Ovis aries: one gene and its partners. The protein of the gene in region 4 interacts with the protein of the main gene of each other region in a pairwise test. Links are inferred from orthologs where the notes say so. Each region holds a gene or a part of one and is shown on either strand. Other genes may lie near its edges.

Region 1 (3,879 bases), on a different chromosome or scaffold from region 4:
TTCCAGAGCGCTTGGAAACGCAGCAGATCAGCAGTCCCGAAGAAGTGAAGCAGCAGGCGTCCTGAGGCACAGGGGCGGAGGGACGCCCGGGAGCAGCGCCCGCAGGCGGCGCAGAGCGCCGGCCTTGCCCCAGGACGCCTGCTCCGTGACCAGGCGGCCTGTGTGCCCAGCACACTGGACATGTCCACGGCCACACCCGCCAAGCCTCTCTCTCCTGTACCCTACTCCCCCCTCCCCTGTAAGAACCCGCAGCAGGGCGTGGCTGCACTCCACCACACTGAGCTAAGCAGCGAGGATGCCAAAATGGGCCACCAGGAAGAAACATGTCCTAAGAACCGAAGTTCACTAACAAAACCCATACAGGATTAACTGTAATTTATGTTGTACTCCCCCATGTACCATAAAATTCCTCCAGCAAGGATGGAGGCAGGGTCTGCCCAGGTCCTTCGTCAAATGTGGCCTCTCTGAGATGCAAACTGGTGCAAAAGCGCCTCACCAGGCTCACGAACAGGCCCCGCCCACCAGGCTCATTGTCCCGCCCACCAAGCTCATTGTCCCACCCACCATGCTCACAGCCTCACCCACATCCCACCCAGCCCACCGCCCGAGCCACACCCCCCACACTCATAGCCACAACCACACCAGAGCAACTGAACTCGGCTCACACTCAAGCACGCTCGTGTGATCACCACAGTCGTCAACCGGCTTCCTCAAAGCGCAAACAGTGCCCCGAGCCTGTCCCTCTCCCTGTTATGGGCACAGAGGGGGTCTCCCCAGGACTCTGGGGCTCTGGAGCACAGGAAGGGTAACAAGGGAGAGAAGGCAGAGCCTTCCATTCTGAAGAGGCTCATCGGCTCCATGTCACAGACACAAACACAGGGCTGTCACATTTCCACACTCACTAGGGCTCACCTCCTTGTAGCAGAGGGCAGCCGAGGGCCGCAGAGGGGGTGCTGGTCGCAGGCAGCTCAGGCTCCAGGGCTTAGGGGTCTTCGGAGGCTCCAGGGGCCCCCAGTTGATGGTGGTGTGTGGAGTGCCATGGTGGGAGGGGTGGGGCAGCGTGTGGTAGGCGGGCGTCAGCGGCGCGGGCTTGCTGTCCGCGTGCTTGCTGGACGGGGTGATGGAGTGGGAGGGGAGCTGCCAGGGACAGAGGGAGAGAGCAGAGCGCGTTCACCGCCAGAGGACCCGAGGCCAGCCCAGCCCTCCCAGCACAGCAGCGCCCACTTGCTAGCGTGCATCCTGAATGTCCCGACGCTCAGGTTACTGGCCGTCAGGCCGAGCATCCCCCACACCCTGCGTGAGGCCTGCTGAGCTCAGGGCGGGAAGCAGCAGGTTGCTGGGTCCAGACCCGGAAACCCACTGACCGCCTTTAACTGCGAAGCAGTCACGTTTGCAAAAAAGGCATTTCATTTAACACAGATATCAGGATTTTATAAAAGAATGGGCATTCTCTGCCCTGGGAATGTGACTGGGGGAGCATAATTATTACCTCGCCAGCAAAAGTAGAGCCTGATCCCTGTTTTTGTTAAAAAAAAATTTTTTTTCCTGGGACACAATCAGGCCTATTCGTGTCAATGGTTGCTTTTATATTATAAAAGCAAAATACAATTGCAACAGAGACCATAGTGCTTAAAAACCAAAAAAAAATATTTACTGTGTTTTTGAAGAAAAATTTTACCAATCCCTTGGGTAAAACATTTTCTCAGAAAAATCAGCTTTAATCAAGACCAGGTTACATAAATTTAATTTCTCAGAAGGACCTTATTAATGGGGTTTATGCTCCTAGAAACTCCAAAAGTATTCGATCACAATGACAAATTAGAACTTTAAACAATTCAAAAGTAGCCAGTGACCTCGAATTAACCCAAAACAATACAGTATGCTTAACAGGAAAAAAAGTTGAGTTGTTCTGTGAGCTGGAAACCAGAGTAAGGTCATTATTCAGAAGAAATGAATAATATTTGAAACACAGGCTTAAAGGGGAGCCTGGGCTCAAGCTGAGGCTTAGGGCTCGAGGACAGAAGCAGCGGACTCTGCCATGACCACACAGCTGCCCTGGGACCAGAAAGGCCAGGGTCCTGGCACATGGCTCCCTGAGGTGGGAGTCTGTAGAGGTTGGTTTAAGGCTGTTACCACCTGAGTGAGAAGGGACTCCCTGTGGATGACACACATGTACACACCGATGCCCTTGGGATAAATTTAGTCCCATGAAAGCTAAGTATCTCTAGAATACATTTACAATATGGAAAAGCTGTCATGGCAAAACCATTCAAAATGATAGTTGAAGCAAATGAATAGCTTTTCCCCCAAACTGCTGAGAAATGGAGTAAGAGGCTGCAGCAGTGACCAGTACACCATGCCATGACCACCGTCCCTGGGACGGCCCTTCAAGCCCAAGGGCAGCGACCCCAGGGTGAACCATGTGGGAGAAGTCCCAGGAGAGACCCTCACAAGCCCTGAGGTAGTGTTCGCGGCCCACCCTGGGCAGGGCAGCTGCCTAAGCGGGTGCCGACGGGCGCCTAACCGGTGAACTATGTGCGTGTGTGTGTGTGTGAACTCTCGAGAGGCAGACAGGCAGGCCTGGCTCACAAGTGGGTCCCCGTGAGGCGATCGCGGCCCACGGGGGATGAGGACGCGTCTGCAGAGAGGCCCGAGGCCCAGCGGCGCTCTCCTGGCCCGGGGTCTGCGGGCGGGGGCGGGGCGGGGCCCTTACGGTGTGCGAGGGCACCGAGTGAGGCTTGCTGCTGGGGTTTCCTGCCGAGGCGGCCTTCGTCTGCTTCTGCAGGCGGTCCACCCACTCGTGGAGGTCCTGCTGGTTGTTGCAGGACACCAAGATCCGCTCGATCATGCTGCCTGGAGGAGACAGGCACGGGCTGGAGGGCGTCAGAGCGCACACATGTGCACCCCAAGGAGGCCCCACAGCACGCCCATGCAGCCCTCGGGGGCTCAGCGGGGCCCGCACACGAGGGCCATGGCCTCGGCACCCGGACAGAGGGCACCCACAGAGCCCGCGCCTATCACCTGATATTTCAAACGCGTTCCTGTGATTTTCACTGTCCTCAAGCTTTGTGACTGTCATTCCTGTCGTTGGTAGCTTTCCCTAAAAAAGACCCCCCAACAAAAACAGTCAGTGCTTTTCTAGTAAAGGAGGTACCATTATTAAAGTAAATATTAAACAATTTTAGACAATGCAGAGGAACTGTCTTTGTAAAGCAAACTCTCTTGCTTGTACCAAAGGCATATATAATACAAAAGCCTCTACCTTGAGTAAGAAATTGTAATACTATAACCAAGAAATGAGCCAGCAAAAAGGTACAGGGCTGCAAACCAGAACAAAAACATTTCATCTGATGAGTTACTCTAAATATAAACAGCAAGACACAAAAACATCATACGTGTGATAAAAAAAAAACAACAACGAGGGTCCACGGTGGCTATTTTAAATGATGCTGTTTATAGAAAGGAAGCAGAGATGTGCCTTAGAGAAACACGGGGCGAGTTCCGCATCCAAAGGCAAATACAGGCGACTGGAGCCGGAGGGACTGTGCGAGACTGCGCCTGGCCATCCGCCACCAGACTGTCCGTCAGCAGCTGCGCCAAGCACTGCCCACAACACAGAGAAGAGCACCAGCCCGCCTGCTCTGGGACAGAGGGCGTGAGGCAGGGAGCGGAACCAGAACTGGGCCGTGGAGCGAGCCCCTCGAATAATAGCCACCAGAGCTGTGGAGGCCGAGCGAGTCTGCAGGGAGCGTCTCTCGGGTCAGGGCCAGGGCCCCGAGGAGCAGGGCCCTGAGCAGCAGGGCGGCTCTGAGGCCACAAGGCTCGGACTCCTGACACCCGGGCAGAGGCCAGGCGCCGAGAGCACCACACGGGCCCGGC
Region 2 (4,599 bases), on a different chromosome or scaffold from region 4:
GTAAACAATTTTCCTGAGTTCTGGGACCCACTGTAGCAAGTTAACTGAACCTAAGAACTGGGTCACGGGAAGCTGATTGATTTGTAGCCAGTTGGTCAGAAATACAGGTAACAACCTGGACTTGCAACTGGTGCGTGAAGCAGAACTGGGTCTTGTGAGGTTGAGCACTTTCCTGTGGAATCTGACTCTGTCTGGGTAGATAGCATCATAACTGAGTTGAATTTTGGACATGCTGCCGACATCCAAGAATTGCTGTTGGTGTGAGGAAGCCAAGGTGCGCACACACACACAGACACACTCACTCACTCTTTGGAACTGGATCCAGGAACTCCTTTTGCAGAGATGACAGATTTTGGGCCTAATCAACTAGGTGGGCAGTAGTGGAATTCACTGGAAAGCAGCAGATAGATTTAGGGACTAATCAGATGTGAACATGTCAAGTGTGAAATATCTGTGAGACACCAAAGCAGAGATGCTGAGTAGGCAGATGGGCTCTGGGTCTCTGTCTAGTCTGCAAGTTTGGGAGACACTACCAAAGATGGCATCACAGTCACAAGATAATTAAGCCACCGTGAAAACCCGACTTAATGCAGAAGTCCTGGGACTATCACCTGGAGCAGCTGACATCAGAGCTTGCCCAGAGATTCAATGCTGGTGTTTGGCTAGGATTCTTAGGGCAAGAAGCTACCTGCTCCTCAGAACAAAGCCTGGGCTGCTGGGGGATACACTGGCTCCTTGAGGATGACACCTGCTCAGGAATGAAGGCGATACAAAGGACCAAGCCCTGGGGTGAGAGCCTGGACCCAGCAGCGCCTGACACCACCTCGTCTACATTTCCCGTAACAGCACAGTTAGCACACGCTTTTGCTTATCCACATTTATAAGAAACAGTTTTATTACAGCAATGGGACTCAATGGTATGGAGCGCCATACCACTTGAGAGGACATCCCTCCATAAGTGAGCACCAGTGTACAACTATACAGCTTCCCCACTAACCCTTATTAACAATACCTACTTAGTCTGCTCCTGAGACTGTTGAGAGTCTTATAACAGGGGTCCCTAACCCCTGGGCCAGTACTGGTCTATGGCCTGTTAGGAACCAGGCCACACAGCAGGAGATGAAGACAGCGAACAAGGAAAGAGTCATCTGTATTTATATCCACTCCCCATTGCTTGCATTACAACCTGAGTTTCATCTCCCACCCTCTCTGGGGAAAAACTGTTTTTCATGAAATCTGTCCCTGGTGTCAAAAAGGCTGGGGACAGCTGTTTTACAACACAGTGTGAACACTCACTTCAGTCTACTGTAGAACCATCTAAAGGAACTCCCTATTCTGGCAGGAGGGACATCTCAGCTGAAAACCTAGAAATGGGGTCCTGGGCTTGTCAGCACCCAACATGCAGGTCTCCCATCTGCCCCCCACAGCATTCCTGGAAAAGTGCTGCACTCCAGAGAAACCCTGCCCCACTGCAGAGGTGGCCACTCTAGGGAAGAGGCTAAAAGAAATTAAACCTAAACTCTTCATCACGAGTATCCGAGGTGCCCTTGGACCTTCCTTCTGGTCGAGGTCTGCAGACCCTTCGGCTCTTTTTTCTGGCAGCCTCACCTACAGGCTGCACCTGGGCTGAGTGGGCAGCTGTAAGCGAAGAGAGGGACAGTATCAGAATTTAATAATAATAGCAGTGGCACCCCACTCCAGTGTTCTTGCCTGGAGAATCGCAGGGATGAGGGAGCCTCGTAGGCTGCCGTCTCTGGGGTCACATAGAGTCAGACACGACTGAAGTGACTTAGCAGCAGTAGCAGCAGCAAACATTAACTGCCCATACAACTCTAAACTCATTGTAAAAATTAACTTACTGGCTTCTCAAAATTATAAGGTAAGTACTATCATCTCACACCCTTAAGAATCAGAGATTCACTAACGCTGCTCTCCTTGCCTCCCTAGTCCAAGCCGGCGTTCTGTGACCCGCGCCTCAGGCTTTCTCCCCGCGGCTTTCCTGACTCCCCTCCTACTGTGGGAGTCCCGCTGCTAGAGGCTTCCCCCTTTCACTGCCCAGGCTTTTCCTTCTGCCCCCTTGAACTAGGCAGTTCTTCATCAACCAGTTCTCAGCTTCTCACCAGTCCTGAGAGCCTGCAGGGCCTCGCGCCACTCGGCTTCTATCTGAGCCCTGTAGTCCCCAAACAAAGAGCGCATCAGCTGCCTCTTCCGGGGCAGGGGGGTTCTCTGGCTGCGCAAGGTTCGGATTGCTCCAAGAGCTTGTTCTTCTGCAAATGAAAACAAAGGACTAGTAACCTTTATCCTCACTTCCAACTGTCCTACCGCAAAGGCAACAATTCCATCCCTTGGCAGCACCTGAGGCCATAGGACTGTCACCGTTTCCCTCCCCCATCTACAGATGGGCCCTCACTCTGCTTAGGGGTGGGTCTCTGCATCTTCAGTCCCAGCTCCAGCTTTTCCACGCACCAGGCCAGTTCCCGAGCCAGCTGCTCAGCCTATGATGGATTGTGGTTAGTGACTGTAAGCGGGCGTCAGGGCGCTGGGGCCTCCAGCCTCATCCCATAGGAACCCCAAACGCCGCATCTCACCCACTTCCCGCTGTAAATCCAGGACTACACCCACAGGCGGGCTCCCGCCCAGTACGTGCCCGGGACTTCACCCTTCCCGACTGAGGCCCGCCCTTGCCTGGGCCTCTGCGCTTAGGGGGGCTTCCTCGGAGGCCTGTTTTTCTGGGGTCTTCCCGCTTCCATTGGCAACAGACGACCCATCCTGGATTTTCTTCTTTTGCTTCTTGGTCCTCGAGGCAGAGTCACGGCACGTAGGGCGCCCTAAGCAGACGGACTGGCTGAGGCCTTACAGTGAAAGGACTCGGGGCTTTAGGAAGCAGCCTGGGGAACCAGGGGCTGCAGGGTGCACGGGCAGTACCTGGGCCTGGGGCTGCCGCTGTCTCCCGAGCAGGATGTCCTGGAGCCTGGGGAAAGGGGGAAAGGACGAAGGTCATGAGGAGCCGCCGACCGCCCAAAGGCGTTCCCCACCTGTACACCGCTTACCGCCATGCGCTCCCGCTGGGACCAAGGAGGGCTGGGGTCCCACGCCGAATACGCTCCGAGGGAAACAAGTCTGCGTCGCAGAGTTCCGCGGGGCGGGGGCTGTGCGCGCTGTGGGTGGGGCGCGGGCGCTTGGAGTACCGCCTGGACGAGACCCACTCAGGACCTACTAGGTTGCAGGTGGTGGTGGCGGGTTAGTCGCTCAGTCGTGTCCGACTCTTGCGACCCCATGGACTGTAGCTCGCCAGCTCCTCTGTCCCTGGGATTCTTAAGGCAAGATACTGGAGAGGTTGCAGGCACTGCTCTGGATGAAGGGACGCTACTCAAGGGAACGTACCTGCTACTCAAGGGAACCACCTGCTAGTGGGGCGGGAACAGTGGGAAAACAGGGGGCTTCCCTGGAGGCCCAGCAGTTAAGAACTTGCCTGCCAACACAGGGGACACGGGTTGGATCCCTGGTCTGGGAAGATCCCACGTGCCTGGGCAGCAGAGCCCACAGTAGGCAACTGCTGAAGGCGCGGAGCCTAGACCCTGAACCCTGCAACAGAAGAAGCCTCCGCAGCGAGAGGCCTGTGGCTGCAACTAGAGAATAGCCCTTGCTGGCCACAGGTAGAGAAAGCCCATGTGCAGCAACAAACACCCGTCGCAGCCACAAAAAACATAAACAGTAAAATAAAGAAGGCCCGTAAACAGACATGAATAGCTGTCACTGAGAGCGACGCTGTAACAGTGGCCCCAGCAGGGCGGGGAGTGGTCAGCAAAGTCCTCCGAGGAGCTGCAGCCCTGGCGGGGCTGCTCTGGCAGCAGGAAGCAGGGCGGGGGCGAGCCACACGGCGAGGTGGGCGGGTCGTGGGGCCCCGGACCGAAACGCAGGCGGCTTCTGTTTCAAGAGAAGTGGAAGAGGGTGAGAGAGGGGTTCGGGGGTTAAGGGAACCCCCTCATCCCTCGGAGGAGTGTCGCAGTGTCGCGGCCTTCCCCGGACGCTGCTGTGTGGTCGGCACCATCTCCCTGCGCTTCCAGGCCCCCGGCCCAGGGCCACCCTACTGCACAGCCGCTGTTGGCCCCGCAGCACAGGCGTCAGGGACTTCCCTGCGGGTCAGGCGGTAAAAGCGTCTGCCTACAATGACGGAGACCCGGGTTCGATCCCTGGGTCGGGAAGGTCCCCTGGAGAAGGAAATGGCAACCCACTCCAGTATTCTTGCCTGGAAGATCCCATGGACAGAGGAGCCTGGTGGGCTACAGTCCATGGGGTCACAAGAGTCACATGGGGTCACAAGACACGACTGAGCGACTTCACTTTCACTTTCTTTCACAGGCATCAGGAGGGCGGGAGTGCGCGGTGCTGTTCATCATTCCTGTCAGAGAAATCTGGGTCTCTGCCTGAGGCAAGAGGATGGGCGGTATCAGAAAGCAGAGTTTGCTCATCCCGATAGTTCCTTCAGTTTTTTTTTTTTTTTTTAATTTTACCATTTATTTATTTGTTTTTGGCTGTGCTGTGTCTTCATTGCTGCAGGGGCTTGTCTCCAATGGTGGTGAACGGGGACTCCTCTCC
Region 3 (4,374 bases), on a different chromosome or scaffold from region 4:
CTTGCTGTTAATCTGCCTACTTAGATGCTTCAGGAAAAACCACCTGAATATTCCACTGTACAATTCTAATAACGGTATTTGAACTCAAGTCATTTTGGAGTGGCAGTTATCTACTTACCCTTACCAATCAAACCACTTAAATCCTGCTACAGCAAGATGATTTCTGACGAATCAAGACATTAAGCTTATTCAAAGAAGCTGTAAACGCCTCCCTCCCTCCACCCCCATCTCTCTTTTTTTGCCAATTAAAGTGTTCTGGCAAATTCTAAGCCAACTAAGAGTGACTCAGGAGGAAATCCTGCATGCTTGCTCTTTTACACTAAAATGATTCTGGTGCACGATAGCTGCGAGCTCGTGGTGTTTCCTTGTTAAGAGCTGTGATTTCTTTTTTTGTTCTGGAAGGAGAAGCAGCCAAGGACTCCTGAGAAATAAGTCTGCAACCCCACGGACCGACCCAGCCACGAACCTGCTGGTAATCAAAACCGCACACCCAGTTAAAGCACTTTCTCCTCTTCCCTCCCTGACCAATGTGCATTCCCCACAGAGCTCCAGGATGCTTGGGCACGCTGCAGAACAGATCACACCACTGCCCCTGGACTCTCACTGTTCCTCCCATTCTGTTTCCTTCCCCAAATTAAAAGGCGTCTCAAAGAACAGGTGAGGGTCAGTTCTCACATCAAGAAAGGAGGCGCGGAGCGAGGGCTTGCGCTCCAAAAACACATCCCCTTTTAAACCTAATTCAAAATAAGGTTACTGCATTCGGCTTCCCAATAAACAACCTTTACCTGCTTGGAATCACGGCTCCTTTGGGGGTCAGGAGCTCTGGAGCGCGGGGGAGGGAATGAGACAGGGAAGAGGCGGGGAGCGAGCGCCCCCGCCGTGCCTGCAGCCAACCTGGCTCCCTGCCCGCCACGGCCCTGCGACCCCACGGCCGGCCGCCACGACTGGGCAAAGGTCGCCTTTGACCGTTCAAAAGGGAATTTTCTCTGACCCCACACGAGGGCGGGCGTCCGGCCCGACTGCGCACGACGCCCGGGAAGCGGACGTCAGCGGGCCCCGGGTTTCCAGACCCTTCGGCGGCGCCCGTGACCGCGCGGCCCGCGGCCGCCGTCGGCCAATCGGTGCCCGCCGGGGGAGGGACCGGCGCCGTGAGCCCCGCCTTCGCCCTGCCTCCAATTATATAAATACGGGTGCCGGCGGTCCGGTCTCCCCAGAGCGGCGTTCCCAGGTGGAGGGAGATAATGCAAAGTGCTATGTTCCTGGCTGTCCAGCACGACTGCGGACCCATGGACAAAGGCGCTGGCACCGGCCCCAAGAACGAGGAGAAGCGAGAGAAGATGAAGCGAACCCTGTGAGTGCGGCTTTCTTCCTCCCTGACTGGCCGCCCCTGCGGACCCAGCTGTCCCGGGCGGCTGCAAACGCGGTACACTCGCGCTGGGCATGGGAACTGGGTAGCCTGCCTGCATCTCTGCAGGAAAAAAAGAAAAAGAAAAAATGTGTGTGTGTGTGTAAAAGGTTAATTTGTGAAGTTACGTTTAAACCTGTGTGGTGTAGGTATTTATTGAAGGACTCGGGTAGAGTTTAGAAACTGCAGAAAATTCTTGATGCAGGGGCGGAGATAGATGCTGGTTGGCTTTTTGTCTCCCTGCATCGAAAATGACTTCGGAGAATCCTGCAGCCACGCGCCCCCGGCCTTCTTGAGAGGCACCGTAAATTCTGATCTGCTTACACGACTGCTGGGATGGAGATATTTTTGCTGATCCTAGATATACTTTTAATTTTTTTTAATTGAACAGCAAGTCTCACCCACTCAAGAGTGTGGAACAAATAATTGTTCTGCATCACCTTCTTAAAATGAGTGCTGAAGTTGGGGGAGGGGGCGGTCAATCTCGCACACACACTTCATTGTGCACAGCTTCTCGGGTGGTCCCAAGCCCCCTGCTCTGAGAGCAGAAGGAAAACGAGCCTGGGCTGGCTCAGGGCAGGTCCACTGTGGGCTTCCTCAAGTGTGAAATGTCTCAGAATTGTAATTAACCGTTGCAGAAAAACTGGCTGCCTTTTGTGGGCCAGAAATAGCATCTGCCTTTGAACTATGCAAACTAAATTCATTAAAATACCCTATAATTGTAGGTCGTCCTATCCTTACTTATAAAACTAATAATTATGTTCAGATGAGTGGATGAAACTAGTGTGTTGAGTACTTAGATGCTGGATTAAAGGAGTAAGACTGACTGGAGGAGTTGTTTTGTCTTATTTGGCTTGTCTATAGCTACTGGGGGCGACTTTATTTGGTAAAAATGCCTTCAGCTGCAATGGCAGTTTCAAGTGTTGCTGCTAAGTGAGTATCTTTTTTTTTTTTCTTTTGTAGATTAAAAGATTGGAAGAGCCGTTTGAGCTACTTCTTGCAAAATTCCTCCTCTCCTGGGAAGCCCAAAACTGGCAAGAAAAGCAAACAGCAAACCTTCATCAAGTAAGTTGAAAATCTTGTGCTTGCCAATATGCACAGCTCACTGCTGAGCTGAAGAGGGAACCTCTGGCTAGCAGGAGCTGATGTGCAGACTTCTTTTGCAGGCCTTCTCCCGAGGAAGCCCAGCTATGGTCAGAAGCATTTGATGAGCTGCTAGCCAGTAAATGTAAGTTAACCTCTTGAATTGGATCCATTTCAAGTATCAGGAGAGTATGGTTTGGTTGTGTCTACACAGCAAGAGCAGCTTGCCCAAGGAGAGTTTGACTTTACAATCCCTGTTCCATGGGGCCTATTTTTCTCCTTTATTTCCCGGTGATTAACCAGGGAAATGCGTGGCTTTTTCACTCTAGGTGGGGAGTGGGGGGAAATAGCCCCAGATTGTAATGGCAGTTGCTGTCTCTTAAGGTTGAGTCAGCTTTTCCATTGCAAACAATGTTTTCAAGCGGCTTCATTCCCAAAGAACTTATGGCTCCCCTATCAGTTGTGTTAACAGCAAAGCTAAGTTTATATTTTTGTAGTAGTGTGCCAACTCACGCATTTTGCTGACTGGCATCTTAGTCTTTAAAGAGCTAAATTTTGACAATTACAGGTTTGAGTAAACTCAAGAAAATTGCTGCCATCTGGCAATAATAAAATATGGGACCAGGGGAGTGGGATTTCTAGGAAAACACATAAGGGAATATTTGAACACTCAATGCAGTTTCTGCATGCTTTCTTCCTTCCCTCCCCCAGATGGTCTTGCTGCATTCAGGGCTTTTTTAAAATCTGAATACTGTGAAGAAAATATTGAATTCTGGCTGGCCTGTGAAGACTTCAAAAAAACCAAGTCACCCCAAAAGCTGTCCTCAAAAGCAAAGAAAATATATACTGACTTCATAGAAAAAGAAGCTCCAAAAGAGGTAAAGGGGGAAAAAGTTCCTTATTTCAGCATATTTTGAACATCCTCAGCACCAAAGTGAAAATAATTTAAAGAGACCTCAAGTTAAAGGGGGGTGGGTGAGTAGGCTGTTTTTCCCCTATTTCTGGCTCTCAGTGAGGTTAATTATATTTCTTCACTGACTTAGCCGGTGACACTGGCCACACATTATAGTTTGGGGGTTTTTTTGTTTGTTTTCAAATACTACATATATTTCAACTTCTGACTCTTAATGTGGAATAAAACTTTGTTGTTTTCTTTCAGATCAACATAGACTTTCAAACCAAAACTCTGATTGCCCAAAACATACAGGAAGCTACCAGTGGCTGCTTCACAACTGCCCAGAAAAGGGTGTACAGCTTGATGGAAAACAACTCTTACCCGCGTTTCTTGGAGTCAGAATTCTACCAGGACTTGTGTAAAAAGCCGCAGATCACCACAGAACCCCATGCCACATGAGATGAAAGCAGGAGCCCAGAAACGGAGGACTTTTCATTTTTTTTCCTAAAAGGGGAAAGGCTGTCACCTGCCAAAAAGACTGACCTTGAATTCAGCCTGGGTGTTCAGGAAACATCACTCAGAACTATTGATTCAGAGCTGGGTAGTGAATCAGGAAGCTGGTCGCCTCGTAGGAGAAGCTGGTACTGGGTCGGCTTCCGTAACTGATGGAGCACAGAGAGAGAGAGTGTGGTCTAAATGTGGTGTGTCTCATGCTGGAAAAGCAGGAGCTTGAGACTGAAAGATAACGATGTAACACTATTGGTCCAGAAGCATTTACAATCAATAGGTCTGGGATTATGTGGCCTTAGCTAGCTGGCTGTACATCTTTCCCTAATCAGTCCTTGTTACCACATAGTGGTTTAGATGTAGTTTCTTTAGCTCTAGGTAATATGTTTACTATGTGCAAGGGTACTGAGTTCCTATGACTACAGATCATCAGTACTGTTGTCTCACATAACTCTAAAACTGAAGTGATTTGTGTTTGAACTGT
Region 4 (4,617 bases):
GTCACAGACGGTGCCTGGCGAGACAGCACCAGCCGCCAGGGCTGGCAGCCGTGCCACGCTCACAACACACTCAAGATTTGTCTCATGCACCCAGGCCTGGGAGGAGGATGGGGCTCTTTGGCGTCAGGCTCATCTCACCTTTTACCTCAAGACCCCGCAAATTCACCACTCACAAAGAGACAACAACCCCGCTCCCAGGGCTGGGTCTGCAGGGCTCCGAATACAGTGAGAGGCCTACGACTTCAGGTAGGAACCACACACCAATGAGGGGGCTTTGGGCCTGGGCTCCAAACTGCTAGTTTCTCTCCAGCCTCTTACCTGGGCTGTTACAGGTCCCAGACTGAAAAATGCCCCAAGGAGAAGTCAGGGTCTTGAGAAGCCTCCAATCCCTTGGGGGAATGCCTGCTCTGTGCTAGAAACCATGCTGGGTGCTGGGGTGAGCAAGACTTTATCGGCACCCTGCACGCCTCACATCCTCACCTCAGCACCTGCCTCCTCCTGACCTGCTTTCTGGATCGGGGCCCGGGGGTGGGGTGGGGGTGGGGAGGTTCCCAGGAGCACACAGGACTCTGTGGGATGAGGACCAGGGATAGGAGCCAGGCACCCCAACACATGAGAGACACACCACTCCTGCCCATGCCCAACGGGCATCCAGAGGCTTCCAATCAAGTAGTCAAAGGCAATGGAGAAAGGACAACTGCCTTGTTAACGCTGCCCTGCGTCCCCCTGCCCAGAATCAGGACCGCAGACTGGAGATGGGATGGTCCTCAAAAACCATTCCTACTCCAACTTCTTGGCCTCAGAGTTGAGGAAACTGAGACTCAGCATGAGAAAACTCTTGCCATGAGTCAGAGAGTAAGCTAGAAACAAAGGCAACACAAAAATCCAGGTTTCCATGATAAAGTGTCTGTTAAGCAACCCCCTCCCAGCCACACCTTCCCAACCCACCAATGCTCCTTCCCTCCTTCCGCGGGGCAGAGGGGCAGCCCGGCAGAGGGGCAGAACAGCCTTGGACCAACACACAGAAGGCAAGCTCTCCTCTTAGCGCTTAATCCCCCAGACCTGCCTGCAGTTGGGGGTAAGGAAATAGTAGTTTCTAACTAACCAGAGGTAAGGACACCCCACATCCCTGGACACACAGCTTCCTCAGGGACCTCTAAGAGACCATGACATGCCCTGAGAGGAGGCCTCAGGGTCACAGCCACCCAGACCACCATGCACCTCCTGGGATCCCACAGTGCCCAAACACTCAAGCTTGGAGCCACTGAAACCACCAGCGCATCTGTGGGTCTCAACCTATTGGGGTCCTCTCTCAGTTGTGTTCGACTCTTCTGCAACCCCATGGACTGTAGCCCGCCAGGCTCCTCTCTCCATGAGACTTCCTAGACAAGAATACTGGAGGGGGTTGCCGTTTCCTTCTCCAGGCGATCTTTCCGACCCTGGGATTGAACCTAGGTCTCTTGCATTGGCAGGTGGATACTTTACCACTGAGCCACCAGGGAAGCCCTGGGCCTGTCCAAAGGGTAGCAGGAAGTGATGGGCCACAAAACAGCAGCCCACACTCTCCACTTAATTGTGCCCAGAGTCCTCCTGGAGTTCATGGATCCCCCTTGAGCCTGCCCGGAGGTCTCCCAGGGAGATAGCTCCTTTTCTAAAGAGAGGATGGTCAAGGGCCAGGGCTTCCCCTTTCCCCAAGGCAGCTGCAGAGTCCGATCACTGGTAGTGTCCCCCCACATCAGAAGGGAGCAGCCTTTCCGGGTCATTTCTCCTCACCTCTTTGGCAGGTCAGGGGGGTTTCACATCAGCCTGGACCTGACTTGGTGGGAAGAAGGGAAACAGCACGGAAAATACAGCCGGGAGGCAGGCCACAAAGCCAGGTGGGTCCCGGGAATGTAGGCACCCCTCCACATGCTCCCTACCCATTTCTGGTAAGGCTGGGCTAGGGGACAGGGAGAGAGGTCTGTGCCCAGGCTGGGGTATGGCCAAGCCACCTTCCAAGCAGGCCTTACTGGAGCACAGGAAAAGCTGAGGCTCGTTGTCCCGTTACCAGGCCTGGGGACGCCTCAGGGGACGATGCCCAAGCTTGTGGTGGCTCTGAACACCAGGCCTTGCGAGGAGCCTTGGGAGCCAGGGGCAGGGAGTCCTAGGAGCAGCCACCCCGCCGTCTGCTCCCGAGAAAACAGAATCCAGACAACCCCCACCCCACGCCGGCCCATCTGCCCGGCTTTCTGCCCCTTGCCCTCCGCCACCCCTGCGGGCGCGCAGACCAGGAGAGCAGCAGGTGCAAGACGCGGGGGTGGCCCTGCGATGACACAAAACCACACTCGCCCCCACCTCCGAAGCCCGGCCGGCCTCCGCCACAGTCCTCCTGGCCACCCTAGGCTGGCGCTTCCGTTTGGACCCAGAGATGGAAGGCGGGGGGGGCGGCGGGGGGGGGGCGCCAGCTGAGGGGCGGGAGGCGGCGCCGGGAATGTCCTTCCTCGCTGGTCCACGGACGCGAGCAAACCGCGGCCCCCTGAGCGGCCCTCCCTCCAAGGACGCGGCTCCGCAGCGGCCCGGGCGGGGGCCGAGACCGGAGGCCGCAGCCCCCAGCCCCGCCCCGCCCTCCGGCCCCGCACGGCGCGCCCGCCAGGCCCCGGCGCCCGCCCGGCGGCGCCTCGGTGCGCGGTCCCGCCCCCGGCCCGGCCCCGCTTACCCGGGGCGCTGCAGTCCGCACACACCTCCGCTCGCGGCCCCTTCCGGGACATCCTCAGCGGCGACGCGGCCGCAGCCCTCTGGGCCAGCGTGGGGGGCGCGGGCGGCGGGCCCGGGCGGCGGCGGCCCCTGCTGCCCGGCCCGGCTCCGGCAAGGCCCCGGCTAGGCTCCGCGCGCCCGGCCAACCGTCCGCCCCCGGGGCTGGCCCGGAACCCGCCGTGCCCGCCCGCCCGCTCGCCCTCGGGCGCCCTCCGCCCCGCGCCGCCCCGCGCCGCCCCGCCGCCGCTCGCTCTCTCCGCCCCCTGCGCGGCTCCGGGCCGCTCCTGCAGGAAGCGGCGCAGGCCCGGCCCACCGGGGGAGGGGCGGCCCGCACACCCGCCCCGCCGCCGGGCCCAGCCCGCCGCTCCTCCCGGAGAAAGGAAGCCGGGAGCGCGGGCGGAAGGGGGCGGGGGCCCTTAAAGGGGCCGCCACCGCCAGGCCCGAGCGCGCAGCGCCGCCTGCGGCCCGGGCCTAGGTGCGCCCCTGCCGCCAAGACGCTGCGAGTTCGCCTCACAGCCTCGTCCCCTTCATTTTCGAGGCTGAGGGTGGCCTGAGGAGCTCGGGCCCAGGGACAGTGACCCTTGGGCATCTGAGAAGAGTGAGGAGCTGGAGGCCCCGGGCCCCCCTTATCCAGGGGCTGTGGTTCGAGGTACCCGCTTGTCTGTTTGGGTTGAATTGTGCGTTCCGGTCCTCCCGTGTATCCACATTTGTGTGTCCAGGTGTGTGTGTGTGGTCACACTCTTGCTGACTAGCCCACCGCCAACAATATGGACGGCCAGGTACCAGAGGTCATGCAGTGAATCCCCCAGTCTCTGGGCTAAAAAGATATCTATCCGTCCTCCATGCTTTCATCCAGAGAGAAAAGAATGGACAGGTTTTTTTTTTTTTTTTTGAAGACCTCCTGAGGAGTGAACACTGTGCCTGTGTGCAGAAATATCCACTTGGTATCAGTGTTGTGTACATCAACGGTATTTCTGAGCCACCAGAAGTGTGTGTCTAGGGCGTGGACATATAACATATAGGGATCCTTTCTGTGGTGGTCTTTCTTCCTGGACTTCACGGAGAGACTCATTGGAGGGGTGGGGGTGACAGGGAGAGGAGGCGCAGGCCTCACATGGGTGCACCCCTGCACTGAGCATGCTCCCCCATACACGTGTGCCCCACGTGCACCCAACCCCCATCCCTGCAGCAGCAAAAGGCCAGCGCTCTGTTTGTTGGGAGAGGGCGAGGGTGTCCAGGCACAAGGGCCAGGGTAGTGGTGACACGATTAAGGCAGGTTCCCCAGGTTAGGGGAGGGTTCCCCATGGCCAGGAGTCCTGCTCAAAAGCAAGGGGGCTGGAGGGGAGTCCTTGGGCAGGGGTGTTGGAGTTGGCTCATTTTATCCCGGCGGTGCCAGAGCAGCAGTGACTTGTGGGTGGCAGGCTGCTTCCCTGGGGGAGACGAGTAATGCTCATGAGTCACTCCACCCGAAATATATGCAAAGCTGCCTCCATCGCCTTTCCCTGCAGCCCAGATTGACAAGTTTGTTTGAGATTGCGATCCACAGGGTGTATTTATAATCGCACCTTTAAAAAAAATCTTGCAGGCATCCCCTCCCCCCATAGCCAGCCGCTCATCTGGCAGGGTTTCTGCGAGCACAGATACCTCGCGGGGTGGGGTGGGGTTGTGGGGAGCACCACCTGCCGCCCCGTGCCGCACCCTCACCGAGGAGTCAGTCCGTGGGGTTGGTGGCCCCATCCCTGGTGATGGGAGGAGTGGCCTGGCCGCTCTTACTGGGCGCCCAGCCCACGAGCTGTGGCCGCCCGTTCACCCCTGATCGACCCCCAGCTATGGAATTTCATTTATTAAATGTCGAGGCGGCTGCTGGCAGCCCCATTGCTTGGC
Region 5 (2,929 bases), on a different chromosome or scaffold from region 4:
GTTCAGGTCGAGGGCGTTCATCCTGGCCCGGTACAACTGCTTGAACTGCTGTGCGTTGTCCACATTCTCAAACAGGTAGAACTGGGTCCCTTCCCCCGTACTGGGGAGTTTCAGGGCCCGCTGGGCCACCTTCTTCAGCACCTGGCCCCCCGAGAGGTCCCCCATGTAGCGGGTGTAGGCGTGGGCCACCAGCAGCTCTGGTTCGTTCTGCCCCACCTCGTGGATCCGCTCCACGTACTTCCGGGTGGCCTCGGAGCACTGCGCCTGCTCCTCCCAGTGCTCGCCATAGAGATACTCCATGTCCCTGATCAGCGCCTTCTTCCGGTGTAGCTCCATGGGGAAGTACAAGGGGGCAAAGGCTGGGTGGTCCTTGTTCCGGTCGATCTCCTCCTCCAAGGCCGAGTACGTGAAGTACAGCGCGGTGGTGGCCAGCTGCCAGGGGTGATGGGGAGACCATGGGAGAGGGCCAGGGCCTGGGCCAGCAACTCCCAAGCCCACTGCCCACACTCCTGAGCACCCCCTCCACTCCCCACTTTCATACAGTGAGATGTTTCACGTGCGCAGGAAGCGTTTGTTTCTTAAAGGAATGACACGAATTCTCTGGAACACGGACCACTCCCTTTACATTACTACCTTATTCCTTTTAAGACATGAAACCACAGCCTGATGCTGAGAAAACATGGCACGTGGAGGAAGGCTGGGGGGGTAGGCACTGTGGGACTAAGGGCCCCCAACCCGACCCAGTTCACAACTGAGGGCACAAACCTTAAATAGCTCCTTCCTGATGTTGCCTTTCAAGAAGTCCTTGACAAACTGGGTGTTTTCCGCCCGGTCATGTGATTCCTTGGTCCCTTCCTTCAGGAGCTCGGAAAGGTCTGCCATGCTACGGAGAGACCATGTGTGAGTTAGCCTTCCGACTCCAGGCTGACCACTCACCAAGCTCGAGGCAGAGGCTGCTCAGAAACGTGATTCCAGCCTCTCAGCAGGGAGCAAAGCACAGACAGATGTGGGTCTGCTCCCAGGACTCGGGCGACACTCTGGATGACTCTGACACACTCCTCCATCGTGCCTGGGTCTCTCTGAAGCACCCAAATGAGTGATGCTTGGCTTCTGTGCCCACCTGAAGAAACACACACCGCTAACCCTACCAGTGTATGACTTCAGGGAACAGATGACTCTGGGGAACGTGTCTCCCAGGATCCACACCCCTGAGAAGAACTGACCATGCAGCTCCTAGGGTGGCCCAGCTGCCTTCCTCCCACCTTGGACCCACAGCCCCTGAAGAGGACATGAGCCTGGGACCCGGCACAGGAGGAGGGAGTGAGAGCAAGGCTGGGGAGGCACGAGCCAGGACCAAGGCCTGTGCTGCTGAACAAAATTACGTGACAGATGCCAGCGCCAGACAAGGCAGAGCAGGTGCTGGGCAGGGGCTCCTGCGCCATCCACAGTCGTTGACCAGAGCGAGGAAAGCTTGGCCTCTCACGGCCAGTCTCTGCTGGCCTCTTTAGGAGACTGGCTCGTACCACTCACGTGCTGCCAACAGTTTATTTTCAGCAATTATTCCAAGATGTAAAAAGAGAACTTTGCCAATGACAGGGCTATAAGGAGAGGCTGACAATGATGAAGAGCAGGCCTGGGTGGCTGGAGGCTTCAGGTGAATTGCCCCCAACCCAATAAGGAAAGCCCTGGAGTTAAGAGCTGCTCCCACATCTGAGGGATGGGAGACACTGGAAAGGTGCCAGCTTTGCCTCTGATTACCCTTTCTCAACCCAGATGACAAAACGCTCAGAATTCCAGGAAGAAGAAACGGCCAGGAGCACCATCAAATCCCACCACTAGGCGCTCGGAGCAGTGCCTGTCCTGCCTCCCTACGTGGGGCGGGGGCGAGGGTGAGGAGGAGGCGGCGGGCGCGGAGCACCCCGGGGCCTGGCAGCGCGACCTGACTGCACCACGGCCGCCACCGCTCACCTGGTGTGGTTCTCCTCCTCTGGGGCCCCGGAGATCCTTCTCTCTGGCTCATCCAACCCCTCTGAGGCCTCCAGCTCCGCTGACATGGCGGCTGCTCTCACGCCTCTGGTCCTGCAGAGACACGGGAGCAGGGGATGTGGCGCCCGGGGCAGGCACTCCCCAGGCGCCCGCCGGCTCTGCTCGCCCCGAGCACCACCACCAGGAGGCGCCACAGGCCTCAGGGAAGTCCTCATAAAAATGAAGCTCTGCTGTCACGCGGACCGTATCTGCTTTGGACAGAATGTGAATATGGACAGTGGTAACAGCACTGTACTGATGCTGAACTTACTGATTTTTATAACTGCACCGTGGTTATTTATGAGAATGTCCTTGTTTTAGGAAACACACACTAGCGTAGTCACAAGCAATGGGGCATATTACCTGCAACTTATTGTCAAATGGCTCAGAGACAGAGTGTGTGTGTGTGTGTCTGTGTGTACAGGCACATACACTGCCGTGGGGGGACACACGAGTGAAGCACTTGAGTCAGTGCTGACAGTAAACCTGGATGAAACATACACAAGGATTCTATGTACCATTCTTACGACTTTTCTGTATTTTTGAGATTATATAAAAATTAAAAGTTTCCTAAAACATAAAATAACAAAGGAATATGACTTAAATAAAGCAGCTGTGCAGCAGCTCTCAGTGTGGCAGTGAGCGCATTGGAACCAGCCAGCCTGCCTGTTAGAGGCGGGTGCCCTTGCGCAGACAGCATCCCCTCGGAGCAGCTCCTAAGGCCCTTGACGAGCTGCGCTGAGTCACCACGTGAGCAGACTGCCTCCAGCCCACTCCAGACTCTGCCGAGCAGGAGGAAGTGACTCTCGTAGGCCAGTCGATGCCCACTGCCTCTGCGTTCATCAGCCCGGGAGATCTGGTCCTGGAAGACTCGAAGTTCACCCTCCATCTGATGGTGCGGCGG
Region 6 (4,520 bases), on a different chromosome or scaffold from region 4:
AAAGTTTAAGATTAAACACATTTACCTAGAACTCAGTTTCTCATTTAAAAGAAAAAAGATATTTGACCTAGTGTTCTTTAAAGCTACTATGATACTTTAACCCAAGTTGTAAAGTGAACAAATTCTATGACTTAATTCAGGTAAACTTCTTTCAGGATAACCCCCTTAAGGATATACTTTACTTACATTCTTCCTACACCTTCATACATGTTAGTCTCATCTACCAAAGTCATAATCTCTGTATCTGTAAGATGTGCATGCTTTTTCGTTCTGTTCAGCTGTTCAATCTGTACATCTGCAAGCTTCACCTTCTGTTGAGTGTCAATAACTTTGGCTTGAAGCTCTGTGAAGGCCTAAAAAGAAATAAGTCCTTGATTTAGTAGGTGCAACATTTTACAGTAAATGTCTATATCAAATCTATTAAAATGAAGCCTGTTAAACAGACAAAGCCGTGAAATTTACCACAGCAAACATCTCAAAGCCAGTCTGCTAAAAACTTGAGCCCTGAACAATTCAGTGATTAGAAGCACTGACCCTCTGTGCAGTTGAAAATCCAAGTATAATTTATAGTTGACTCTCCATATAGCAGTTCCTTTGTATCCCTGGTTCTACATTTGTTGATTCAACCAACTACATATCATGTAGTACTCTAGTATTTACTATTTTAAAAATCTGTGTACAACTGGATCCCTGACGTTTAAACCAATGCTGTTCAAGAGTCAACTGTACTGAACTTACCCAGTCCTCAGAAGATGCAACCTATCTGAAGAAGCTGAACAAAGGCACGGTAAATAACAACCATATCAAGTAGCAGGTACCCAAGGATTAATAAAAGCTCTAAAGGCAACAATCACAAACCCAGAGACCCAAATCAGGAACCATTAATGTAACAACTCACCACATCTGTACTACTCAAGATTATTTAAAGCACTTTCCCACACTTGTTTGAAATATTAACATGTGAATATTAATATGAGAATACTGACATATAATAAATGTCTCATTTTCTCTTTTCAATAATCCTGAGTTAAGGATGGCAGATTCATCAGCACAGTTTACAAATTAACTAAATGTTTTAAAGAGATATAAATGACTTTCACAGGGCTGAGCAACTACTAGGTCAAAAACCAAGTACTTAATTAACTTCTGACCGCTAGTTACTGAATCTTTCTACTCTACTATCCACAGTAATATTCAGAAAATGAATATTTTAAGAGAAAGACACACAAAAAAATTCAAAGCATTGATAAAAGAATTGCATCATGATCTTCATATGCACACGATAAGCCAAACTTGACCTCTGAGTACTGTTAAAAGGTTTTTGATACTTCTGAAGTGCCTAGAATGATTTTCACATGCTGTCAAATTCTGACTTAATAATAACATCTGTGGCTGCAATACATGGCAAAAAGCTACTAACTTTTATTCTGACTTTGTTCTCACCTACTAGTAAGGTTTCAAAAGGTTTATCTAGAGGGGAGAGGAGGTACCTAAAGTTTCCTATTAGTCTCCATCCCTTCCCCTCCCCCCAAAATTATAAACATTAAAAGACCTTTAAACAAGTTTCTTCTGTAATTTTATTGGTTGACAAAACTACCCAATTTAAGTCTGTAATTATCTTCTTAGTTTGCATTCACTGTCCACAGGTTTCCCAGCAACAGACTGAAATAATACTGAGGGGTAAGTCCATTCATAGCTGTATTCTATTGTTAGCTCTCACTAAACCCTAACTTAAATTTGAACTTTTAACGGAAAAAAAAGGTAAACTTTTAAAACACTTTAAGACACAGTTTGGTAAGGAAGCTAGTATTTTGTTAAAGCTGAGATAATACAGCACTAGACAGCACCATAAGGAGTAAAGGTACAAGTTCCAAACAAAAGGCAATACACACACACAAATCCTCAGAGCAATAATACACTGCTTCATCTATTACGTGGAAGAGCTACTTCAACTGTCTTATTTCTCATGCAAAGATAGATTACAAGACAGTCTTAAACAAAATTTGCTCTTCTAACCTCAAGTAGTGGTCAAAAGGTGGAAAGTGAGGCAGAGAATGCAATATTCTAGAACCAAGCTTGGGCTGACTCTTCTGTTAAACTGTTTCCTTTTCTAGAAAAGTATCAGTTTAAAGTAGATGAAGTCTAGGCTCCTTTCCAATCCCCATTCTCCTTCTCTTCGCAAAAAAAAAAAAAAAAAAAAGGATACGCTTTTGAGTCGGTAGTGGTGTTAGAATCCTGACAACTCTCAGGTGGTGAAAACATTTCTGTGTAACAACACATTTCTAGGCAATTGTTTGAAGAGAGAAACTCAATTCCTTCTGATACCAATTTGATCTGGAAACCTTTGACTTGTTTCTTCTTTGACAAATCTTTAAAAACGAGGGTGGGGAGGGGGCGGTTGTTGGCAAAGCCCTAAGATGAACATTGCTACGAGGATACCTGACTGAACTGTATGAAGCGACCTTACAAGATATGGGATTAAAGAACTGACCTAAAAACAGACTGGACTTGGAGTTTTTCAAAGCAAATTAGTATACAGAATTACAGATGCTACAGCTCGGGCAAGCAGGCTAAGAGGCTCCAACTGGAAGCGCTCATTTCAGGCCTCACTATGGAACTGAAGGCACCAAGAGCAACGAAAGGTCTCTGGAGCTCGGAACAAGGGAACAAAACAGCTATAGGCCCGCCAAACTTAACCAGGCCCAGCCCAACCGGCTCTTACCCGGCAAAGAGCCGCTCGCCCTCGACTCCCGCCTAAGGAGGCCCGGTCCCGCCTTTGCACTCTGAGAAACCACTCCCCATTTCCCTGGGGCCTCTTTCCTTCCGCAGCACTCGAGACTCACTCGACATTATTGTCCACAGTCGCCTTAGCTTCCAAAGAAAAGCTTCTGCCTGCTCAAGACCCTCTTTTACCTTCTTCAACTCCAGATCCACGGGGGCCGCCATCTTGCTTCACTACTGCGCCTGCGCAGTGGGAGAAGCCCGGAAAGAGCGTGGGGGAAGGGCGCGCCCTGAAGATTTGATAGGGCCTCTTCCTTCTGCGCCTGCGCATGAGTGGGGCTGCTTGGTTTTCCTACCTTCCCCGTCGTTATTAACGCCTGAAATAACCGGGATTCCGATTCAGAGTACGTCTTCCCCACGTGACCTATGGGCCTGCCGTGATTCTCCACATCCTTCCAAACACGGCACAATCTGCAGATTTCGTGTGTGTGTTTTTTTAATATAAATTTATTTATTTTAATTGGAGACTAATTACAATATTGTATTGGTTTTGCCATACATCAACATGAATCCGCCACGGGTGTACACGTGTTCCCCATCCTGAACCCCCCTCCCGCCTCCGTCCCCTCGTGTGTGGTTTTAACCACTTCGACAAATAGTTTAGTTTGTGTCGCTAAATTAAGATGTATGTAGATCAAGCTAAAACCTTTAAAGTCATTCATGCCTTCAGCGAGTCCTGTGCTGTCAGGGAGGGATGAGAAAGAATCAGCCTGAGTTTCAGACATGGCAGCATGGAGAAGACCAGAAGGCTTCAGTTCAGTTCAGTCGCTCAGCCGTGTCCAGAAGGCTTAGTTGAAGCGTTTTCCCAAAGAACTTATTTATACTGAATGTTCTCAGAAGACCTTGTAGACACAGGAGTTCTCACGAGAAACCAAATTTCTTTTTAAAAGAAAAAAAAAATGCAGATTCTCTGATCCTCATCCCAAACTTACTTAGAATCTTTGATATGGGGCACAGAAATACATACTTTTGCAAACTCCTTTTATGATCTGATCTAAGTGGACTGCAAACCACATTTTGAAAATCTGCTGTAAAATAGCTGGCATTTGAACCAGAAGGATGACTAGAAGGATGGACATGAAAGAAATGGATATCTTCCTTACTCTAAAAACCTGTGAGGCAGGGGAAAGGGCAGGGAGTTTGGAACTAAACAAATCTGTATTCAAGGTTTGGTCTACACTGAGCGTAGGTATGTCTGCTTCCATTTACTAGTTGTGTATCAACAGAGTCTGTCTCCTCATTTAATATGAGAATAACAGTACTGACCTAACAGAGTTATTCTGAGGAGTAAACAAGATCAGGATGGAAAGCTCCAAGCATAGCACAATGCACACAGTAGGCACACAATAAAAAGGTATAATTAAGTTCATGTAGTTAGCATTGTTATATTTGTCTTTCAAGATACAGCAAGCAGCAGACACATAATATGTATCCATTATGTATTTTTTTTATTTTTTACATCACACAGACCATAAATAATCTCTCCTTGGAATTTCAAGACTACTTCTGTTCCTTTTTCAAGACACATGACACTATCTGTCTTAAAAATTTTTTTTTATTAGACTTATTAGCTGTTCAAATGTCCATCATTCGACAAATGGATAAACAAAATGTGAGGACATTATGCTAAGTGAAATAAACCAGTCACAAAAAGACAAATACTGTATGATTCCATTGTACAAGGAACTTGGTGGTGGTGGTGGTGGTTTAGTCACTAGATTGTGTCTGACTCTTGTAAC
Region 7 (3,879 bases), on a different chromosome or scaffold from region 4:
GTGAAAAGATTCAACTATGTACAAAACTCTCATACCCACCCTCCCCCTCTCACACACAAATGCTTCTTCTTGGCTAATTCCCACTTAGCCTTCAAGCTTCTGCCCAGGTGTTGCCCAGCAGAGAAAGTCACTCTCATCACTCCCACTGCTTCATAACTGACCTCTGAATTCCAGAAGCATATTGCTACCTTAATATTGTTTTGGAATCATCTTTTTCTGTTTCATTAGAAACTGAACTCCTTGAAGGAATGACTACTGCTCTATGAAGCCTTGCTTACTACAGTAGTTAATAAATGTCTGTTGAGCAAATAACTGGATAGATGAGGGCAACAAAAGGAGGAAGGGAGGGAAAGGAAGAAAGGAAAGAAGAAACAGGGGAAGGGACAGGAAGACAGCTAACATTTACGGTGCACCTAGCACATGCCAAGCACACACTGGAACTTTATATGATCATAGAGGTGTTAATAATGCTACCCTTGCCCAAGTACTTACTTGACTACAGTGTCTACCAAGTTATGACTAGGCATTAGGATATTTTGAGTCTTGGAGGCAAGATATACTAGGAATTAACAAGTGACTCTCCTAGGAGAAAAAAAAGCCCAAGAAATTTCTCCTGAAAGTCCTGAGCACAGTATACTAGAAAACCTCCAAACTGGAAGAAAGCTCAGAGGTCCAACCTCACACTTGATACAGGAAGCCCTTCTACAGTATACCAAATAAACAGCCATTCATCTGATGCCTGACACTTCTCATGGCAGGAACTACCACCTCATGAAGCAGCCCTTCCAGCTGTGAAACAGCTCTGACAGAAAACTGCTTCTCTGGAGCGGAATCTCGGTGTCTGTGGCTTCTGCCCGCTGGTCCCTGGCAGAGAAGGCTGGATCCAAGGACACCCTCCTGCTTCTCCCCTACTCACACCCATTTACTAGGGTTAGACAGAGACCATGGCCTGTGGGTCCATCCCGGCTTGGCTGGATCAGCCTGCCTTTCTCCTTCTTCCCAAACAGGCGGCCAATGGATGATTTGATGCCCTTGCGCTTGGCACCCTTGTGCAAGGAGTCCTGGCTGCTGTTGCTGCTGCTGGGGTTGCTGCCTGGATCCTCCAAAGCACTACAGGATGACAGCCAGGACGGGGTGGGGTGAAAAGAAACAGATGTAAATTACAGCATGAGAGACAGGAGCTAGGTTTCAGGAAGAACTCACAGTAAGTGTCAGAGTTGAAAGGGTAAGGGGGCATGATCAGAGCATGGGACCAAAAGAGACATGGAAATGTCCTTCTCTCATGGTGTTTCAAAGAGAAGTGAGATGTTCAGACACCTGGGATAGGTGAGATTCAGCCTGTTCAGAGGCAGAGAGGGATGAGGTAAACTCGGGGAGGGAGAGGCTTGAGATGGGGTCTGCTCCATTTACCTCTTGCCTTCTTCCTGGCTCAGGGCTGGGTGGCCAAGCTTTTCTAGCTGCAGTGTCCTGGGTGAGGAAGGAGGAGAAGTCTCACATTTTATGGTGGCTTTATCCTCTCGGTTCTCTTCCCAAGACACTGGTGACTGAACAGACAGTGGAGCCGTCAGGGGGTAGAGAGAGCGATCGGGGGCTTGCTGACCCAGCCCAGACAGGCGGAGGGGCGTAGAGAGCGGCGGAGGGGAGGCCCTGCCGGGACCTCTCAGAGCTCAGACTCAGACTCAAGGGCCCGTGGGGGAGAAGTTGAAAGGGAAAGGCGGGGGAAAATTAACCTGTTAGTACCTGGGTCATCAGGCAGCACTCACCAGCAGCTTCCTCCTATGCTTTCTTAAGTCACTGGGCTGGAAAAGAGAGTGACAGGTGAGCTTGGACTCACCTTTTGGATGCTTGAACATCTACCCTAAGGGGAACCCAGTGGTCTTAGGATGAGAAGATAGAACTCAGCGCCTTATATAGGCCTGAAGAGAATATCACAGCAAAACAAACCAACAAAACACTGGCTTGAAAAAAAATAAATCAGGGCTTCCTCTGAAAGAGAGAAAGACGTGTGGGCGCTGGGTGAATTTCTTAAGCATTACCCAAGGGGAGAGGGCAAGAAAGTAACCACGTAGCTCTTTCCAAACCCAGAAGGCTGTGCTGGTAACCTGGCATGTCAAGGTCTATACACATCATAAGAAGAAAATGCTGTGCCCCAACTGACAGTGAGCCCTGCAGTCAACCCCCCTCGGTCAACCCTGAAGCAGAGTCTAGTGATGACAAGGTTGTTCATCAACTGCTCCGAGTCTCTCACCAAGGTCATGACCCCCATCCGGTCCAGGTCCTGGGCAGCACTTCGGGAGGTAAGCTTAGGTGTGGCACGGCCGCTGAGTGGAGGGGATGCACTGGCCAGGGACAGGGCGGTCAGAGAGGTGGGGATGGAACCTCGTTTGTGCAGTTGGGTCAGGTCTAGGGCCTCCATGCTGCCACTAGTCACTCGAGTTTCCAGCTCCTCAGCACGGAGCTCTGTGGACTCCTTCTCTTCCTGGATCATCCTGGGAGGCAGGCAAAATCGGGCCTCACTGTTAGCCAGAGAGGACTAGCAGGTGGCATGTGTGGGCACTGCCTGAGTCACCATCCAGTGACCCAGGGTACAAGGCGATGCTCAGGTGTATCCCAGTGTTTGGGGGCATTGCAGGGACATACAAGACCTTGTGAGCATAGCTGGTTCTATCCCACTACAGCTTAGCAATTTTCTGTCTTGTTAACTGGCCTAACGTAACAAAACTCCCTAGTTTAACAAAAGCAGTTTGCAAGGAAAGGAGGCAAGTCCGTTAGTGGAATATGAAACTATAAAACTATAGTTTTATAAACTATATAAAACTATAAAAATATATCCAATGTCAGGAAGGTCTAAGTCAGTAGTTCTCAAACACAGAACCTTTAATTGATGCTGATCCCTGATGGAATGTTCCCTGTTCCACAGAAAAATTAGAATAATAGTGATAATGTTATGTGTATGGGGGAGGCACTCAGAAATGTGTGTATGCACACTCATACACACACACACATATATAATGATGCCAACTGTCCTTTAGAAGCAGGACCTATCTTAATTCTCAGAGCATATCTTTCCAACTTTAGGGATGTTAAAATATCCTTTCTTTGATAGAATGGTTATGATAGGAAATGGTAATTATCTTTACTATTTCATTTTGTAGAATGAAAGTCGGCAGTACTATGTTAGTACCCTTCTGTGTGCATGTGTGTGTGTGTGTGTGCGCGTGTGTGTATGTGTGTGTGTGTGTGTGTCTATGCAGTATTTTCTTTTTAGCTTGTCTGTGAAATCCAAAAGTGTGGGAACCACTGAACCAGATGACCCCTACAGCTCTGTAAAGCATGGATGTTCTCTGCTTTGGACTTTCCTTTGCCATTTGCCACAAACATTAATAAACTCTCTATAAAAATGGAGTAAAGTGCAGATCTTGATAACATTCCCTGCCAGTGGTTTCTGTCTGATGCTTCATTAGGGATGGATGGCATGACACAGTGCACGGAGTTTAGAAAATTTTGACTCCTGGCTCTGCCACTTAGCGCACTGCTTTGGGCAAATCATTTAATCTACCTGATTTGTTTCCTTGTCTATAAAATGGAAGTAATGCTGTCTCCTCCAGTGACTGTGATAAGACTGACAAAAGATCTCACCCTGAGTCGGCCTCAGTATGTGGGCACTACACAAAAGTGGTTGTGTTTAGCTGTAGGAGGTCAGGAACACAGCCTCCAAAGACCTGGGAGGAAAAATGAAGCCTGAGAAGTCAAGCTGAGGTCCTGCCCCTCTCAATCAGCGTTGCGCCAGAACCTTGCCTGATCCCCACACAGGGTCCCTAGATGGCACTCAAGGTGCAGCTGTAAGAGACAAGCAAACACATACAGAATCCCTCCTGC

Evidence for each region.
Region 1: the proteins of GIT1 (region 4) and ARHGEF7 interact in binary tests that used the Homo sapiens proteins (3 or more experiments, as listed by UniProt). The link is inferred for Ovis aries from reciprocal best matches to the Homo sapiens genes GIT1 and ARHGEF7.
Region 2: the proteins of GIT1 (region 4) and C9H8orf33 interact in a two-hybrid assay, tested with the Homo sapiens proteins (2 studies listed by BioGRID and IntAct). The link is inferred for Ovis aries from reciprocal best matches to the Homo sapiens genes GIT1 and C8orf33.
Region 3: the proteins of GIT1 (region 4) and RGS2 interact in a two-hybrid assay, tested with the Homo sapiens proteins (2 studies listed by BioGRID and IntAct). The link is inferred for Ovis aries from reciprocal best matches to the Homo sapiens genes GIT1 and RGS2.
Region 5: the proteins of GIT1 (region 4) and HMOX2 interact in a two-hybrid assay, tested with the Homo sapiens proteins (2 studies listed by BioGRID and IntAct). The link is inferred for Ovis aries from reciprocal best matches to the Homo sapiens genes GIT1 and HMOX2.
Region 6: the proteins of GIT1 (region 4) and PFDN1 interact in binary tests that used the Homo sapiens proteins (3 or more experiments, as listed by UniProt). The link is inferred for Ovis aries from reciprocal best matches to the Homo sapiens genes GIT1 and PFDN1.
Region 7: the proteins of GIT1 (region 4) and PPFIA4 interact in a two-hybrid assay, tested with the Homo sapiens proteins (2 studies listed by BioGRID). The link is inferred for Ovis aries from reciprocal best matches to the Homo sapiens genes GIT1 and PPFIA4.

What each region holds. Positions count from the first base shown.
Region 1 is NC_056063.1:84,874,903-84,878,781, reverse strand, and holds part of ARHGEF7 (rho guanine nucleotide exchange factor 7), read right to left. Parts: intron 3,101-3,879; coding exon 3,022-3,100; intron 2,854-3,021; coding exon 2,714-2,853; intron 1,138-2,713; coding exon 913-1,137; intron 1-912. UniProt on the Homo sapiens protein: Acts as a RAC1 guanine nucleotide exchange factor (GEF) and can induce membrane ruffling. Functions in cell migration, attachment and cell spreading. Promotes targeting of RAC1 to focal adhesions. May function as a positive regulator of apoptosis.
Region 2 is NC_056062.1:13,261,751-13,266,349, reverse strand, and holds the start of C9H8orf33 (UPF0488 protein C8orf33 homolog), read right to left. Parts: upstream 3,084-4,599; 5' UTR 3,057-3,083; coding exon 3,051-3,056; intron 2,972-3,050; coding exon 2,926-2,971; intron 2,829-2,925; coding exon 2,686-2,828; intron 2,496-2,685; coding exon 2,411-2,495; intron 2,268-2,410; coding exon 2,121-2,267; intron 1,639-2,120; coding exon 1,499-1,638; 3' UTR 1-1,498.
Region 3 is NC_056065.1:11,622,887-11,627,260, reverse strand, and holds the start of RGS2 (regulator of G-protein signaling 2), read left to right. Parts: upstream 1-1,212; 5' UTR 1,213-1,241; coding exon 1,242-1,351; intron 1,352-2,368; coding exon 2,369-2,470; intron 2,471-2,571; coding exon 2,572-2,633; intron 2,634-3,199; coding exon 3,200-3,366; intron 3,367-3,647; coding exon 3,648-3,842; 3' UTR 3,843-4,374. UniProt on the Homo sapiens protein: Regulates G protein-coupled receptor signaling cascades. Inhibits signal transduction by increasing the GTPase activity of G protein alpha subunits, thereby driving them into their inactive GDP-bound form.
Region 4 is NC_056064.1:20,780,481-20,785,097, forward strand, and holds the start of GIT1 (ARF GTPase-activating protein GIT1), read right to left. Parts: upstream 2,948-4,617; 5' UTR 2,748-2,947; coding exon 2,696-2,747; intron 2,673-2,695; exon of another isoform or gene 1,774-2,672; intron 1-1,773. UniProt on the Homo sapiens protein: GTPase-activating protein for ADP ribosylation factor family members, including ARF1.
Region 5 is NC_056077.1:4,217,941-4,220,869, reverse strand, and holds part of HMOX2 (heme oxygenase 2), read right to left. Parts: intron 2,080-2,929; 5' UTR 2,055-2,079; coding exon 1,969-2,054; intron 884-1,968; coding exon 766-883; intron 433-765; coding exon 1-432.
Region 6 is NC_056058.1:49,170,136-49,174,655, forward strand, and holds the start of PFDN1 (prefoldin subunit 1), read right to left. Parts: upstream 2,963-4,520; 5' UTR 2,947-2,962; coding exon 2,914-2,946; intron 354-2,913; coding exon 187-353; intron 1-186. UniProt on the Homo sapiens protein: Binds specifically to cytosolic chaperonin (c-CPN) and transfers target proteins to it. Binds to nascent polypeptide chain and promotes folding in an environment in which there are many competing pathways for nonnative proteins.
Region 7 is NC_056065.1:561,355-565,233, reverse strand, and holds part of PPFIA4 (liprin-alpha-4), read right to left. Parts: intron 2,490-3,879; coding exon 2,249-2,489; intron 1,800-2,248; coding exon 1,764-1,799; intron 1,545-1,763; coding exon 1,411-1,544; intron 1,111-1,410; coding exon 944-1,110; intron 1-943. UniProt on the Homo sapiens protein: May regulate the disassembly of focal adhesions. May localize receptor-like tyrosine phosphatases type 2A at specific sites on the plasma membrane, possibly regulating their interaction with the extracellular environment and their association with substrates.